2 linked regions of the Cricetulus griseus genome follow. The protein of the gene in region 2 purifies or fractionates together with the protein of the main gene of each other region. This does not show direct contact. Links are inferred from orthologs where the notes say so. Each region holds a gene or a part of one and is shown on either strand. Other genes may lie near its edges.

Region 1 (7,562 bases), on a different chromosome or scaffold from region 2:
TGGGATCGGTTTTTACATGTTAAACTTGCTCTTTTCCTCCCTCGGTATAGGCATGCATTACATGCACAGCCAGCCATTCATGCACTACATGCATAGCCAATGCATTCCAGGTACCAGGGAATCCAGTTCCTCCTCAGAAAAGCACAGTTCTAGGTTTCATGAAGCTTACCTTCAAATAAGGAAAGCTATACTCTAAAACAGTTCCATATAGGACCTATAGTGAAAAAACTTTAAAGAGGATAATTCTTGATGGGATGTTTGGAGGTGGGAGTTAAGCTGACATTTAAATTCTCAAGATTCGAGGGTGTTCTTCCATTAGGCTAAACCAGAGGGAGACAGATAGTGACTACAGAGTAGTTAAGAGGTTAAGAACAGAGGAAAGAGGGCTGGAGAGATGGCTCTGGCTAAGAGCACTGACTGTTCTTCCAGAGGTCCTGAGTTCAATTCCCAGCAACCACATGGTGGCTCACAACCACCTTGAATAACATCTGGTGCCCTCTGCTGGCAATCAGGCAGAAGACTGTATACTAAATAAAATCTAAAAAAAAAAAAAAAAAAAAAAAACAGAGTAAAGAGATTTGGGTGTTAAATCACCTGAGAGAACTGTAATGATATTAATAGGTTTGGTTTAAAGATACAAGGCAAGTGTTTAGTGGCTTAAACACTTGCTGTGGGCAGAACCTAATAACCTGAGTTTGATCCCCTGCTGGGGATTACACATTGTAGAAGGAGAAAATGGAGTTCCCCAAGGTATCCACTGGTGTTCACAATAAACAAATAAATGCAATGGTAACTTTAAAGAGATACCGAGACAACTATGTGAAGATAGACTGTAAGGAAATGGCCTGCGGGTGTGGCTCAGTGGCAGAGCTCATGCTACAGGTGTCACTTATGGACATGTTAGACAAGGTAGGATTGGTAGCTGAGTGGCAGTGAAGGACAGGTAGAGAGGAATCAAGGATTATATTTAAGTTTTAGGTCTAAAAGCTGGGGAGGTGGTAGTGTTTACTGACACTTCAGGTTTGAGATGGTGTCAGGGTTTCTGTTCTGAGCATGTTGCAGTACTTATCAAACATTCAGGTGAAGAAATCTAACATGTGGGTCTTCAAGGGCTCAGTGGTCAGGTAGGAATGAAGGTCTAATTTTGAAGTCAATGGTTTCATCCCAAAGTAAGATCCATGAAGGCATCCTTTTTTTTTTTTTTCTTTTTTAAATTGAAGTTTGGCCTTGAAATCAAGAGATCTGCCTTCCTCTGCTGGGATTAAGAGTTGTGCCTCACAATGTCCATATGAGTACATATATTTGTGAAAGAGATGACATAATGGGGACAAGGTGCTATCCCAGTCTTGGGACATTCTACTTAAAATATAACAGAAGACTTGTGCAGAAACAACTAAAAGAACAGATGGCAGACTTGGGGTACAGCTCGGTGCCACACACTGGGTTCCATCCCAGGATATTATCTGTCCCCCACACAAAAAAGGATGAGTTGAGAGAAAAACCTGGGAAAGATCTTGTGACTGCAGTAATGTGTGCAGTAAACCGTGCTAAATGCTGCACACATTAAACTGATCCAGGGCTTGCCAGATCTGGGCCTTACTCTGGGCCTGGAGGTGTGGCTCAGTGGCAGAGCTCATGCTACAGGTGTGAGGTCCTGGCTCCTGACCTTAGCCCCAAAACAAAACAAAATTCCTAGGAAGTCACATGGCATAAAATTCCATTGTATTACCACCATACCTGTTGCATTAATTCCTTGTGGGGCTTACATTCTTTCTTATAGACTCACAGAAACTATGGACTCAATCTAAGGATTTGTGGTTTTAAAAAGATGTTCAATTTTAATTCTATCCTCAACCCAAGGAAACTGATCCAGACAAAGTCTGTGATTTTGCTTAGTGATTTATGAGCCCTTATATTTACATTATGAAAAGTAACTTTTCCTGTCTAATGGGCTTTGGTATTTTTTTTTGAAGCGTTCATCTTTTGCCCCCAAAGAGTCTTTATGGGATAATTTTAAGGTGGGATACCTAAAAATTAGGCCTTAAATATCGGGTTCACCAAGTGAAAAGGGCCAGATAGAAGATTTGTGAATTGTAGTCTTGGCTAGGAAACTTCTCATTTGTCTGTGACAGTAAACAGTTAATAAGATAAAGATACAGTGCTGAAAATGAGGGCAGTTAATCACGATAGACTGCAAAGTACGTGTATCCTGGCACAGCAGACTAAAGCCGGCAGCTGTTAGAATGCTGCTTGAAGCAGCAGCCTATTTCTACGCTTCCCACGAGACCGCCGCCCCTCCTCCCAGGTGTCACTATGGCAACAAAGCACGCGCTGCCCCGGCTGTCCAGCCGTTACCTTCCTAGGCTGGTCACTTCTGAATGTACCAGACTCCCAAGTGCCTTAAACACTCTGGTTTGGGCTGGTCCTTCACCGGGCCAGAGTGAGGGGCTGAGTGGGCACCATGGCCAAGGCGGCGGCCTCCTCAGCGCTGGAGGACTTGGATCTGAGCGGAGAGGAGGTGCAGCGGCTCACCTCCGCCTTTCAGGACCCAGAGTTCCGCCGAATGTTCTCCGAGTATGCCTCGGAGATCACAGACCCTGAGAACCGGAGGCTCTATGAGGAGGAGATCACCGCCCTGGAGCGGGAGCGCGGGGTGGAGGTGCGGTTCGTGCACCCGGAGCCGGGTCACGTGCTGCGAACCAGCCTGGACGGGGAGCACCGCTGCTTCGTGAACGTGTGCAGTAACTCGCTGGTGGACGCGCCCAGTAGCCGCCCGGGCCCGGGGCCCGGCGGCACAGCAGCGGGCAACCACTGGTCCCTGCCCTACAGCCTGGCGCCGGGCCGCAAGTATGCGGGGCGCAGCGGCTCCCGCTACACCGTCTACGACGTGGTCTTCCACCCGGACGCCCTAGCGCTGGCCCGGGGCCACGAGCGATTCCGCGCAATGCTGGACGCCACGGCCCTGGAGGCGGTGGAGCAGCAGTTCGGCGTCAGGCTGGACCGCAGGAACGCCAAGACCCTGAAGATCAAGTACAAGGGGATGCCCGAGGCTGCGGTGCTCCGCACGCCCCTTCCCGGGGGCGTCCCTGCCCAGCCCGAGGGGGAGCCGCCCGAGCTTCTCCCGGACCTGCAGTACCCGTACCCGTACCGCTACCCCGAAGCGGCGGAGAGCACGGCTCGCGCGCAGGCAGCCGCGGCTCCCCGGGCACCCCAGGCGGAGCAGCCGCCGGAGCCCACGGAGCCGCGGTGCACGGTGGTGCAGCGCCACCACGTGGACCTGCAGGATTACCGCTGCTCGCGCGACGCCGCCCCGAGCCCGGTGCCGCACGAGCTGGTGGTCACCATCGAGCTGCCGCTGCTGCGCTCGGCCGAGAAGGCGGAACTGGAGGTGAAGGGGAAGCTGCTGTGCCTGGACTCCAGGAGCCCGGATTACCGGCTGCGCCTCCCGCTGCCCTACCCGGTGGACGACGGCCGCGGCAAGGCGCAGTACAACAAGGCGCGGCGACAGCTGGTGGTCACGCTGCCCGTGGCGCTGGCGACCGCCCGCCGGGACCTCGCTGCGACGCCGCCGGAAGCGTCCGCGGCCGAGACCGGAACTGACGGCGCAGCCGGCGCTTCCGAGGGCGACCTTGCTGCGGCGCGGGAAGATTCGGTGAATAGGACCCGAGCTGACCGCGGGGACGAGAGTGGTGTGGGAGCCCCAGGCTTCGGGGCGGCAGACGCTGAAGGGGAGCCGGTTCCCAAGCGGGAGCGAGACTTGGGTGGGGACTCGGTGGCGTCTCTAGGCCTCGGGGAAGGGCCCCCTCCTGGGGACCGAAGCCCCCCTTGCACCGCGTTCCCGGGCTGCGACACCGAGTCCCGCGCGGGAAGCCCCGGGCTGTGCGGAGACCTCAATGCCCAGACGTGTGAGGAGCAGGAGGGGCGCTGCCACGACGCCTCGGGCTCAGCCATGGGTGGCTCCGGAGCCGGGAGCATCGGACCATTGTGCCCTCCTTTGCAGTGCAATCAGGACGAAGACTCCTTGACTTTGCTCATCCAAGTGCCTCAGATTCAGCCGCAAAGTCTTCACGGGGACCTGAGCCCCCTCCGATACAATTTGTGCTTCTCCACACAAGACTCAGGCTATTGCTTCACTTTGCAGTTTGCTCCAGAGAATAAATTGAGTACCAGAGAACCCGTGATTAGCATTTCTTTAAACAATGCGGTGATAGTACTGGCAAAATCTCCGGAGAGCCGTGGACACTGGCGAGAATGGTATTGTGGCTTGAACACCGACTCTTTGGAGGTAACCGTTTTCACTATTTGAAAGACTCTTATTTTTTTTTTTTTGTTACAGGCACCTAAACAAATGTTTTCCACCTATTCATATTATGAAAGATAGTGCGTGGTAAGTGTGTTCTCAAAGCGAAGTTTGCACATACCCGAAGCATGCACTTCATGCCTTCAGGGTTGTCCGTAATGCAGCCGTTTTCTTGGGGTCCATCCACTGGCTAACCAGACTGGATTTTATTGATTCCTAGACCTCTGGCATTTTATGCAAAAATTGAGGGTAGTGTCTCTCCCGAGAAAAGGGTTATAACTTAAGTCGTCCTCAACAGGATTTATGTCGAAAAAGCACTCCAAAGTGGTCATATTTTAACTTGGGAAATCACTTCTAAGTTTTTTAATTTGGACAGATGATAAAATACTTCCGGAGATGAAATAATTTATGCTGGGGTTATAGATTAAGCTCAGAGGTAGAGCATTCTCCTGTACTAGCCTTAGTCTCCTCCTTCCCTATTTCCCATTTGGCCATATGAAACTGTTGGAGTGAGGTTGCCCTCTGGTGGGTGCTGTAAATTACACAGAAAATTTCTCTGTTTTATTTGTCGCTAGAACCCCTAAGTATTTAGTGCATGGCCGGCATTTGATAAAGTGTTCGTCTCACTACATAGCCCTGGCAGTCCTGGAACTATGTGGACCAAGCTGGCCTTGAACTCAGAGAGATCCACTTGCTTTTGCCTCCCAAGTGCTGGCGTTAAAGGTGTGTGTCACCATGCCCAACTATAGTGGATTTTCTTTTTAGTTTTGTTTATTGAGACAGGGATTCTCTGTGTAGCCCTGGTTGTCCTGGAACTCACTCTGTAGACCAGTCTGGCCTCGAACTTAAAAGATGCCCCTTTCTCTGCCTCCTGAGTGCTGTGATTAAAGGCATACACCACCACCACCTGGCTTAGAAATGCTTTTGATGGAGTGCTTCAGTAATAATATCCAGAATATAAGATTCTGGATCTTCAAGTAATAGAAAGGTAAGGTAATTGTTCTAAATGTAAAATTCCTCTAATTTATTGGTTCACTTGCAAATTCAAATACTGTTTAATATAAGCAAAGAGAATTTGAAATTATCTCTGATTTTGTCCCTCCTCTTTGGACCACATAATAATCTTTACTTTGTAATTATAATATTTACTTATATAAAAGCACAGAAGATAATCTTATTTGGGGTAACTAAACTGATCTTATGAATTAAATAATTTTAAATATGGTTAAATGGCTGTTCCTTACTGGATGTGAATATAAAAAAAACTATATTGTGTTTAGATTTGGGTGATAGTGATGCTTAAATTTTCTAGTTGAGAAGCCTGTTACTGTCTTAAAATCTACTTCCTTTTAAATAACTATGTACATGTGGCACACTAAAATATATCAATATTCTTTTTTTTTTTTTTTTTTATCTGTACAACATTCTGCTTCCATGCTTATCTGCACACCAGAAGAGGGCACCAGATCTCATAACAGATGGTTGTGAGCCACCATGTGGTTGCTGGGAACCGAACTCAGGACCTCTGGAAGAGCAGTCAGTGCTCTTAACCTCTGAGCCATCTCTCCAGCCCAAATATATCAATTTTTAAAAATAAAACATATGGTGACTTCTTTGAAAACCTTCGTTCATGTTTTTAAGTGTGTTTGTCCTTCTGAGTGCCTTTCTTTCTCGTTCTTTCTCTCTCTTCCTCTGAGACGTGTTTCTCTATGTAGCCTTGGCTGGCCTGGAACTCTCTTTGTAGACCAGGCTGGCCTGGAACTCACAGAATCCATTTGTTTCTGTTACCTGATCACTAGGAGTAGAGGTGTGTGATGCTGTGCCCAGCACTGAGTGCTGTAGTTTTTCTTAAAGCCAGCATTGAATGATTTCTGTTAGACCCAGACATTGCTTCAAAAATTTAAAAATAAATAGAATGTGCTTCTTTTAAATATTGTAATGGGTTCTTAAGTGGGCCAATAACTTTTTCTGTATTTTGTTTGATACCTGGGGTCTGAGGTAGCCTAAGGTGGCCTTGAACTCCTGTGTAGCTGAAGGTGACCCTGAACTTCTGATCTTCCTGCCTCTGCTTCCCAAGTGTTGGAAATACAGTTTTGAGCCACTGCATCCAGTTTACATAGTCAAGAATTTAAAAGACATAGGAGTTATTAGAAGCTGAACTATAATAAGATTGCATTTATAGCCTTGAAGGGAATATTCCTAAGAAATACCAGGGGCACCAGATAGAATGATGTGGAAGCAGCAGAAAAGAAGTTCAAGGTCACCTTCAGGTGCACAAAGGTCAGCTTGGGCTACCTCGGACAGTATATATTTGGAAAAAAATAAAGGAAATACTGTTTGTAAGTAAGATAATCTTGGTAGGGAAAGCACACACCTCCTCTTTAGTAAACTTTAAATAAAAAATCAAGACTTCCTTTTATCTTTCTCTTTTTAGGTGGATCTCCTATTATATTCTGGACAAAACTAGAGTTCGTCTTTTCAAGATAGCACTTATGGTTGCTGAGATAAACACTTTAGAGACTGTAAAAGCTATGAACTATGTAAGAACTCTTAAGGTGACCTGTAAAATAGAATATTTTTTCTCTTTCTACTTTAGGAAAGATTGTTTCTTGATGAAGAAAATGTTAATGAGTTTCTTGAAGAGGTCCTGCATTCCCCGTTGACACAGGAGAGGTCCCTAGCCCCCCCACCATTGATTGAAGTTCTTCAGGTTACAGATGAGAAGATTCAGATTCATGCAAAGGTATTATTTTAGTGGAGTTTAAAGGAGAGTGACTAATGGCAAGAATATGTAACGTGACTATTGGCCCATTGGGGTTTCTTTGTGTAGCCTTGGTTGTTCTGGAAGTCACTATGTAGACCAGGCCTGCCTCTGCCTCCTAGGTGCTGGGATTAAAGGCATGTACCACCATGCCCAGCTGATAGTAAGACTTGTCTACTTGTTTTCCATGTGATAAGAACTCCACTCTTTATTCTCATATTATTTTTAAAAAGTGCTGGGATTAAAGGCCTGAAATTTAGCCGTGGAGGTGATGGCACAGGCCTTACAGAGGCCTGATCTACTCAGTAAGTTCCAGGACCGCCAGGGATCTGTAGAGAAACCTTATGTGAGGCCATGTGGGGGTGGAGAGGACGGGGAAGGACATGCATGAGGGTTTTGTCTGCATGTATCTTGTTGTGGTACCTGCCAAGGCCAGAGGGGGGAGCACTCTACCTGCCATATGAATACTGGGAACTGAACCTGGTCTTCTCAGGTGTTCTT
Region 2 (7,432 bases):
GTACTTTAACTAGAACCTACCCCTCACGGCTTCCATCTCTCCCAATGGCCCATTTAGGTATGCTTTCTTCCACTTGGCATCTCATATCTCATACCGCATCCCATACAGTTTGTTAAGCAAATGTTACATTAAATAAAGACTTTGTCTCCACCCCTCACCTTTGTCTGTTGTATTTTTCCTGGAAGTTGACTCTATTCAGTATTTTATGGTTTTTTGTTTTGTTTTTTAATTTCTTGACCACTGTTCATTCACCCATTGCTACTATGAGCAGGAATGTAAACTGGTATTGCCACTGTAGGGAAGTTTCTCAAAAACTAAAATTAAAACTACCACCTAACTGTGCTACATTAGTCCTGGGTATATATCTGGAGGACTTTTGTTTGTTTGTTTGTTTGTTTGTTTGTTTGTTTGAGACAAGGTTTCTCTGTGGCTTTGGAGGCTGTCCTGGAACTAGCTCTTGTATACCAGGCTGGTCTCAAACTCACAGAGATCTAGCTGCCTCTGCCTCCCTGCCTCTGCCTCCCGAGTGCTGGGACCATCGCCCAGCCTGGAGGACTCTTAAGTCCCATCACAAAAATACGTGTACATCTGTGCTGAGTGCTGCACTATCCACAACATTAAGGAAATGGACCCAGGCTGGATGAGTGGACAAAGTAAAGGTGATCCATAAACACAGTGAAATTTTATTCTGCCAGAAAGAAAAATGAAATCATGGCACTTCCAGGACACAGATAGAACTGGAGCTCATCAGATTAATTCAAACTCAATCAAATACCACGTGTTTTTCTCATGGGTGGATTCACCCCGAGTTTTGTTTTTTGTTTTTTTTTTTGTTGTTGTTTTTTGTTTTTTCTTTTTTTGTTTTTATGGAGACAGGGTTTCTCTGGGTAGCCCTGGCTGTCCTGGAACTATAGCCCAGGCTGGCCTCAGACTCAGAAATCTGCCTGTCTCTGCCCCCCAACTGCTGAGATTAAAGGTGTGTGCCACCACGTCCATCTGTGGATCCTAGATTTTAATTTTTATACTTGTGGGGGTGAGTTTGGGTGTAGGTCATAAAATGAGAAAGGGGACAGTGAGAGTGAAAAATGAGGTTTTAAGGAAACAGAGAGATGAAAACGGAAGAGAAGGTAACAGAATGCATTTGCCCTGAAGCAGAAGAGAACAGTGAAGGGGAGGGGCCGGTGGGGGTGGAGCAAAGGGGCAAGAGAAACAATGAATGTACAAACCCATCACTTTGTTTACTAACTTTAAAATGCTAATATAAAAGTTAAAAAAAAAAAAAGACGAGGAACCAAACTCAACCATATGAAGAAATAAAGGTACTAAAAATTCTAATGAATGCACAGATTGTCAAATTTTCCATGACAGAAACACTCAACAGTGTGCTACTTGGAGGGGAAAAAAAATCACTTATAAAGACACAAGTTTAAAGTATAAAGGCAGGAAGGGATGTTCATACAAACAGTGTAGTGAACTGATTTCTCATACAGATATTGAACTATCCAATGAGAAAATTACAGCCATAATTAAAGATCATGGAACAACTGGATATCCATAGATAATAAATACTTTGATTCCTACTTCACTGTGAACACAAAAAATTAATCCAATATACCAGAGATAGAAACAAAAGTGGTAACCCTCCTTAAAAACAAATGCAGAAAAGCTAAGCAGAGGGTCAGTCATGCTTAGGGTCCCAGAGACTTGGAAGCTGAGGCAAGCAGAGGGGTCCCTTTAAGCCCAGGAGTTCAAGGACTAGCTAGCACAGCAAGACCCATTACTAAATAGAGACATAGGTAAAAGAAACCTGGGGTGGGTCGGGGGAAGTATTCACAAAGTCGAGGTAGAAAAAGATTTAAGATATTAGACAAGGCTGGAAAAAAAAAAAACTTGAGAAACTGGATTTTTATTAAGATTTAAATTTCTGCTCATCAAAAGACAACATACTGAGTACCCCTAAGCCAAAAGGCCAAAATGCGCTGGAATGAAAATGATTCTGACCCATACCACTTTGCTAGAGATGCTCAAGAAGTCTATGCAAATACTACAAACTCTAGAAAGGTCCAAAATCACTTCAGGCCCACCCAGACCTTTTCCAATAAGACATATTCACTGTGTATTAGGAAAACAAAAATGTCTGCCACAGATGCAGGAAGACATCCACAAATCCTCACGCATGTGGCTTTCTATTGTTTCAACTTAGCAACAAGACTAACCAGTTTTTATTAGCTAGAGATGAACCTGCTTTTATTAGTTAGAAACCATAAGATACTTTACAAAATAACACACTTGGATTATCAAAAAGCAGACGAAAAAGTTCTCAACATTTTAAGTCACCAAGGATAAACCATAAAATAATTCCTCATCCCCATTAAAATGGCTCAAACCAAAAAGATTGGCCACATGAGAGAACTGTTTGACAGTTTCTCACAAAGAACTGGGCACCTCTATCCTACATTGCAGGATAATGTAGGATATTTCCTAATTTCACCCTTAAGTATTAATCCAAGGGTATACATGTCATAATAAGACAAGACATTAAACAAGGCTGGGGGTGTGGCTCAGTGGCAAATGCATTTGCCTAGTTCCAATACCCAGCTCCCATCACACACACACACACACACACACACACACACACACACACACACACACACACACAAATCTTATAAAGCAAATCTAATGCAGCTGACTCATAGTAAACACTTTCTGAAAATAAACAAAACATCCAGCAATAGAAGAATGAGTTTGTGGAATATCCAGACAATGGAAAATTACTCAGTAAGTCACAGGAAAGGAATACTAATATAAGCAACAACACAGATGAACCATGAATCTCACAGCCCTGTTGAAGGTTCCCAATGCTGCGGAGGCAGAGGCAGGCAGATCTCTGTGTGTTCAAAGCCAACCTGGTTTACATAGTAACTTATACTAGTCTTTGATGGTCTCTCAAAAAAAAAAAAAAAATGCTGGGGAAAGCAGAAACAAAACCCAATGCATGCTGTGAAAGCTATGTCAACTTGGCTACATCTGGAATGAACCTAAAATTCCAAAATGGAGTACACACCTGTGAGAGATTTTTGCTTAATTTGAAGTAGGAAGATTCATTTCTAATCCAGACCTTTGAGGTAGATGTGCCTTTATCCAGATCTGAGCTGGGATAAGCCACCTCTAATCTGGGCCACACATTCTGCTGGAAGGAACACCGAAGAAGGAAGTTCTTTGCTCTTTGCTTAGTTGCCCTGGCTCTCAAGTTCATCCCTTCACTGGGGTTAGAGCCTACTTCTTTGGGATTCCTAAGTATACTGAAGACCAGCTGAGCTATCTAGCCTCACGAACCGAGCAACTACTGGATTTTTTGGACTTTCCATTCATACATAGGCAGCCATTGTTGAATTAGTTGGACTGCAGCCTGTTAAGTCATTGTAATAAATCCCCTTTCTATATATAGAGATTCATTCAATAAATTGTTGCTCTAGAGAACCCTGACTAATACATGTGTCAACACAGGTCCAGAAACAGTGACATTGTGTGGAATGGCTGAATGAAGAACACGGTTGTTACTAGTGCAGGGGAAGTGACTGGTGCTAGAAGTCAAAGGTCAAACAGAGACAAATAAGCTGTCTAGCAAAGTAAGTTTCTTAACTTGCTTACAGGGTTTTTGTTTGTTTGTTTGTGTGGGGGGTAAGGGGTTGTATTTGGGAATGTTTGTACTCTTAATTACCAAACAAGATGGACAGAGCTTAAAGATATCTGTTTGAAATTATGACCCCACTCCTTTATCTAGCACTTCACCCTTCACCCCCATACTAGGGAGAGATCTCAGAGCCTGTACATGCTAGGCAAATGAGTTGCACTGAGCCTAGACTCAATCCCAATCGTAAAACTGAGGAAATTCAGATATACAGATATAGAGATACAGAGATAGATATGCTGCTCCAGAACACATTTTCAGACCTATGTCTGTTTGAAACACTTGTCACAGAGAAATAGGCAAAACCTATGAAGAGATCATTAAAACATTAAAACTGCTAACCGTAATCTAAAAAAGTCTATTTCCCCGCCAGGTTTCTTGTTTGTGTAGTAAATATGAAATCAAAAGTTTGCACACAGGCTGGGGAAACCGGCCAGTGGCTAAAGCGCTTGCCAGGCAAACATAAAGATCTCAGTTCGCCACCCGATCCCGTCCAGCGCACGCGCACATTGTCTCGCGCGCGCGCGCCTAAGGCCGCTCGCGCTCGCCCCGCCGTCCCGCGCCTCCGCGTTCCCGTCTCGCGCACGTGCACCGGCGCCTCGGTCGCGAGCATGGCTCGCACACGCGGTCCCGCGCACCGGCGCCTCCGCCCTTACCCCAGGATTAGCAGCGCGCTCTGCAGCCGTCTCCGCACTTCCAGGAACACGCGCGTTTCCGCCGCAGCCACCGCCATGGCCCACTGAGGCCCGCACACGAGACCGAGCCCGCAGTTACCAGAACCCGGACAGAGTGGGAGCACGTGTCGCAGGCGGCTCCCAGGCGGTGGCCGGGCGGGATCCTGTCGGCTACAGCGCCGCCTTGCGGGCGGAGAACGCACTGCTGAGGCGCGGACCCTGGAGTGCACCTCCCGCCAACCCTGCTCTTGCAGCACAGGGGAACAGAGAACAGAGCCAGAACAGAGAACAGAACAGGATGAGGGAGGGCTTGATCTGAGCACTTCTCTCCCTGAAATGAGCAGAAAGATCAAACTTGGGGGCCGGGAGGGATTCCTCTGGATGGCTTGGGTAGGAATGAGGAAGATAATGGAGCAGAAACAGTAGAGATGGGTACTTTCTCCATTTCCAGAGCTGAATGGCCGCCCCAAAGCCCACTTTATCTGAGTCTCCTCTTTTTGGAACTAGGACTGTTTATTAGCTTCCGTGTCCATTGTAACCAAAATGTCAAAGATCGATGGGGTATTGCATTCGCTTTACAGGATAGCTCCAAGACTGAAACAGTTGCAAAAGACGTAAGGTCTCTGTAAGCCATGAAAACACAGTGGGTAGAGTCTAGTAGCTTGTATTGAGGGACTAATCATTCATATAACTTTAGAGAAGCAAAACGAAAATGAGTAATTGCTGATGTACGCCCCCACTATACTGCAGAAATAAAAGACTCAGCGAAGTTATAATTTCATTGCTACTACAAGACACATTTTCAAAGTTTGACACAGTAAAGGATATGGTATGGTGTAAACAAATGTATCAGGCCATGGAATTTCAATAGGATTTCTTTAAAAATAAAAGGTTGTTACTTAAATCAATGATAGCTTGTATAAAGGAAATTGTCTTAGGGTTACTGTTGCTATTATGAAACACCAATGTAGGGGGAAAAGGCCAGCCAAAGAAACACACCCTGAGCAGAGCCAAAAGAAACACACTTTGGCCCTAGAATCAGAGCCAGTGAAAGAAATACAGAAGAAATAAAATTAGAACCAAAAGGCTGAAAAGGACCAGTGAAGGAATCACACTTTGGCCCTGAAACCAGAGCCAAATCTGACCCTGAACCTGAGCAGAAAACCAATCCCTGAGCACAAGATCTAGCCAATCTCAGCTCAGGGAATGAAATCTGACCAATCTCCACCCTGGAAATCTCCCTGGAAAAACTCTGCCTCAAAGAAGCCCTATATAAACCCCGTGTCTGTTCAGCTTGTGCTTGTGGGTCTGTCCTGCTGGTCCTCTTCCATCGTGGCAGAAGCAGCCACTCTCCTGGATTCTTCCCTCTTGATAAATCTCTTAAATGAGGTTTGGGTGAGACCTTCCTTTGCCGGAATGGAGTGGAGGAGAGAAACAACTTTTGCTAGAGCCAGAGCAAAGTAGAGCAGAGCAAGTGGAGCAGGGCTATAACACTTTAGCTGGGGAAACCTTCCCCTAGTGAAGCAGAGTTGTTACACTCCAAAAGACTGGAGTTTAGCTGTAACAACTTCACCAGGAAGCCCTCCCCTGCTGGATCGAGCAGAGCTGTTACACTGGGAAAACCTTTCCCTGAAGCAGGGTTGTAAGCTACTACATTTACTGTGACCTGTGGTATTCCTTGGCTCCAGATTGCCAGAATACCTTTCCAACCTAGTTGTAATACTCAATACTCTTTGGCTCCTGAGTGCCAGAATCCTTGCTGATCCTGAAAGGCCCCCAGAGACTCAGGCCCCCAGGATCTCATCCCAGGACCTCGGGCACCTCAATCACCATGAGGAGGCAGAAACTTGATGCAAACAGCAAGAGGCATTAATGAAAGGTGAACATTTGTCAAACGGGCCTCCTCAGCACGCAAGTTTGGCTCCAGGGCCGCCCCGACCTCTAGGCACTGCCGGTTTTAAAGGCAAAAGCCACAGCTGTTGAGTACGTGACCAGAGTCACAGGTTCCTAGGAGGCCCTTTGTCTTGAGGGGAGGGCTGGGAATCAGATGGCCTCCTGACCCACCAGTTGTAAACCCGAAGACCTCAGGATGTGCTAACTAAACTTGCCTGAGTAAATTGTTAATTGTTGACACATTGGCCAGTGAGCCCCTCAGGGGAGGGTAGCCATCTGGGAATTCTTGGTACCCAGTTATCTTTTTTTTTTTTAATTTATTTATTAGTTCCAGTTAGGGAACAAGCTTGTTTCACATGTAAGTCCCTTCTCCTCTCCCCCCCTCACCCCCATCCCTCCTCCCCCACCCCAGCCCACCCCCCCACTCCATCCACCCACCACTCCCCAGGCAGGGTAGGGCCCTTAACAGGGGCTCTGCAAAGTCCACCAAATCTTCCTGTGCTGGTACCCAGCTATCTTATGGCCTTGTAAGGGAGTAATTGCTGGTGGTTGGTAAATTCCAGGCACTAAGTCATAGTAGTGGCCTTGGTCAGTTTCTGGGCTATATTTCTTTGCTAATTTTTAAGTCTTTCAATCCAACCTGTTGAAATGCTTACAGCCATGACTAAAGAAACTTGGAGAGGAAAGGGTTTATTTAGTCTATACTTCCACAGTACTGCTCATTGAAAGAATAGAAACTCAAACAGGGCAGAATCCTGGAGGCAGGAGCTGATGCAGGAGCCATCGAAGGGTGCTGCTTACTGGCTTGCTCCCAGGACTTTGCAGTCTGCTTTCTTTTTTTTAAAAAAAAAAAAAAACAAAAAACAAAAATATTTTAATACCTTTAAAATCCAATTTTTTCTTTAAAATCATTTATGAAAAAGATTTTCAAGTCAGAATTAACACCTCAATTAGCCAAGTGTCAGGAAGCTACATTACAGCTACTTATTTTACACAGAGGAGTCTTTGCCCTCACTTCCTCCCAATGCCTGTTCCAGACTTGGTTGGAGTCTCTCCACAGCCCAGCCTGGTTCCATAATTTCTTCAGATCACGAAAACTGAATTTGTTGGACACCAGAAATCTGTTGATAGGACGTCGTGTAAACCATAAGCAGTCTCCTTTCTTATAGGACCC

The links. Proteins that work in one complex are often made in the same cells at the same time.
Region 1: the proteins of Ube3d (region 2) and Dnaaf2 purify together in Homo sapiens (affinity purification with mass spectrometry; 4 studies listed by BioGRID and IntAct, counting the BioPlex papers as one, with this or other methods). This does not show direct contact. The link is inferred for Cricetulus griseus from reciprocal best matches to the Homo sapiens genes UBE3D and DNAAF2.

Annotation. Positions count from the first base shown.
Region 1 is NC_048598.1:134,172,086-134,179,647, forward strand, and holds the start of Dnaaf2 (protein kintoun), read left to right. Parts: upstream 1-2,424; 5' UTR 2,425-2,461; coding exon 2,462-4,285; intron 4,286-6,896; coding exon 6,897-7,043; intron 7,044-7,562. UniProt on the Homo sapiens protein: Required for cytoplasmic pre-assembly of axonemal dyneins, thereby playing a central role in motility in cilia and flagella.
Region 2 is NC_048597.1:196,576,806-196,584,237, forward strand, and holds the start of Ube3d (E3 ubiquitin-protein ligase E3D), read right to left. Parts: upstream 4,539-7,432; 5' UTR 4,425-4,538; coding exon 4,348-4,424; intron 1-4,347. UniProt on the Homo sapiens protein: E3 ubiquitin-protein ligase which accepts ubiquitin from specific E2 ubiquitin-conjugating enzymes, and transfers it to substrates, generally promoting their degradation by the proteasome.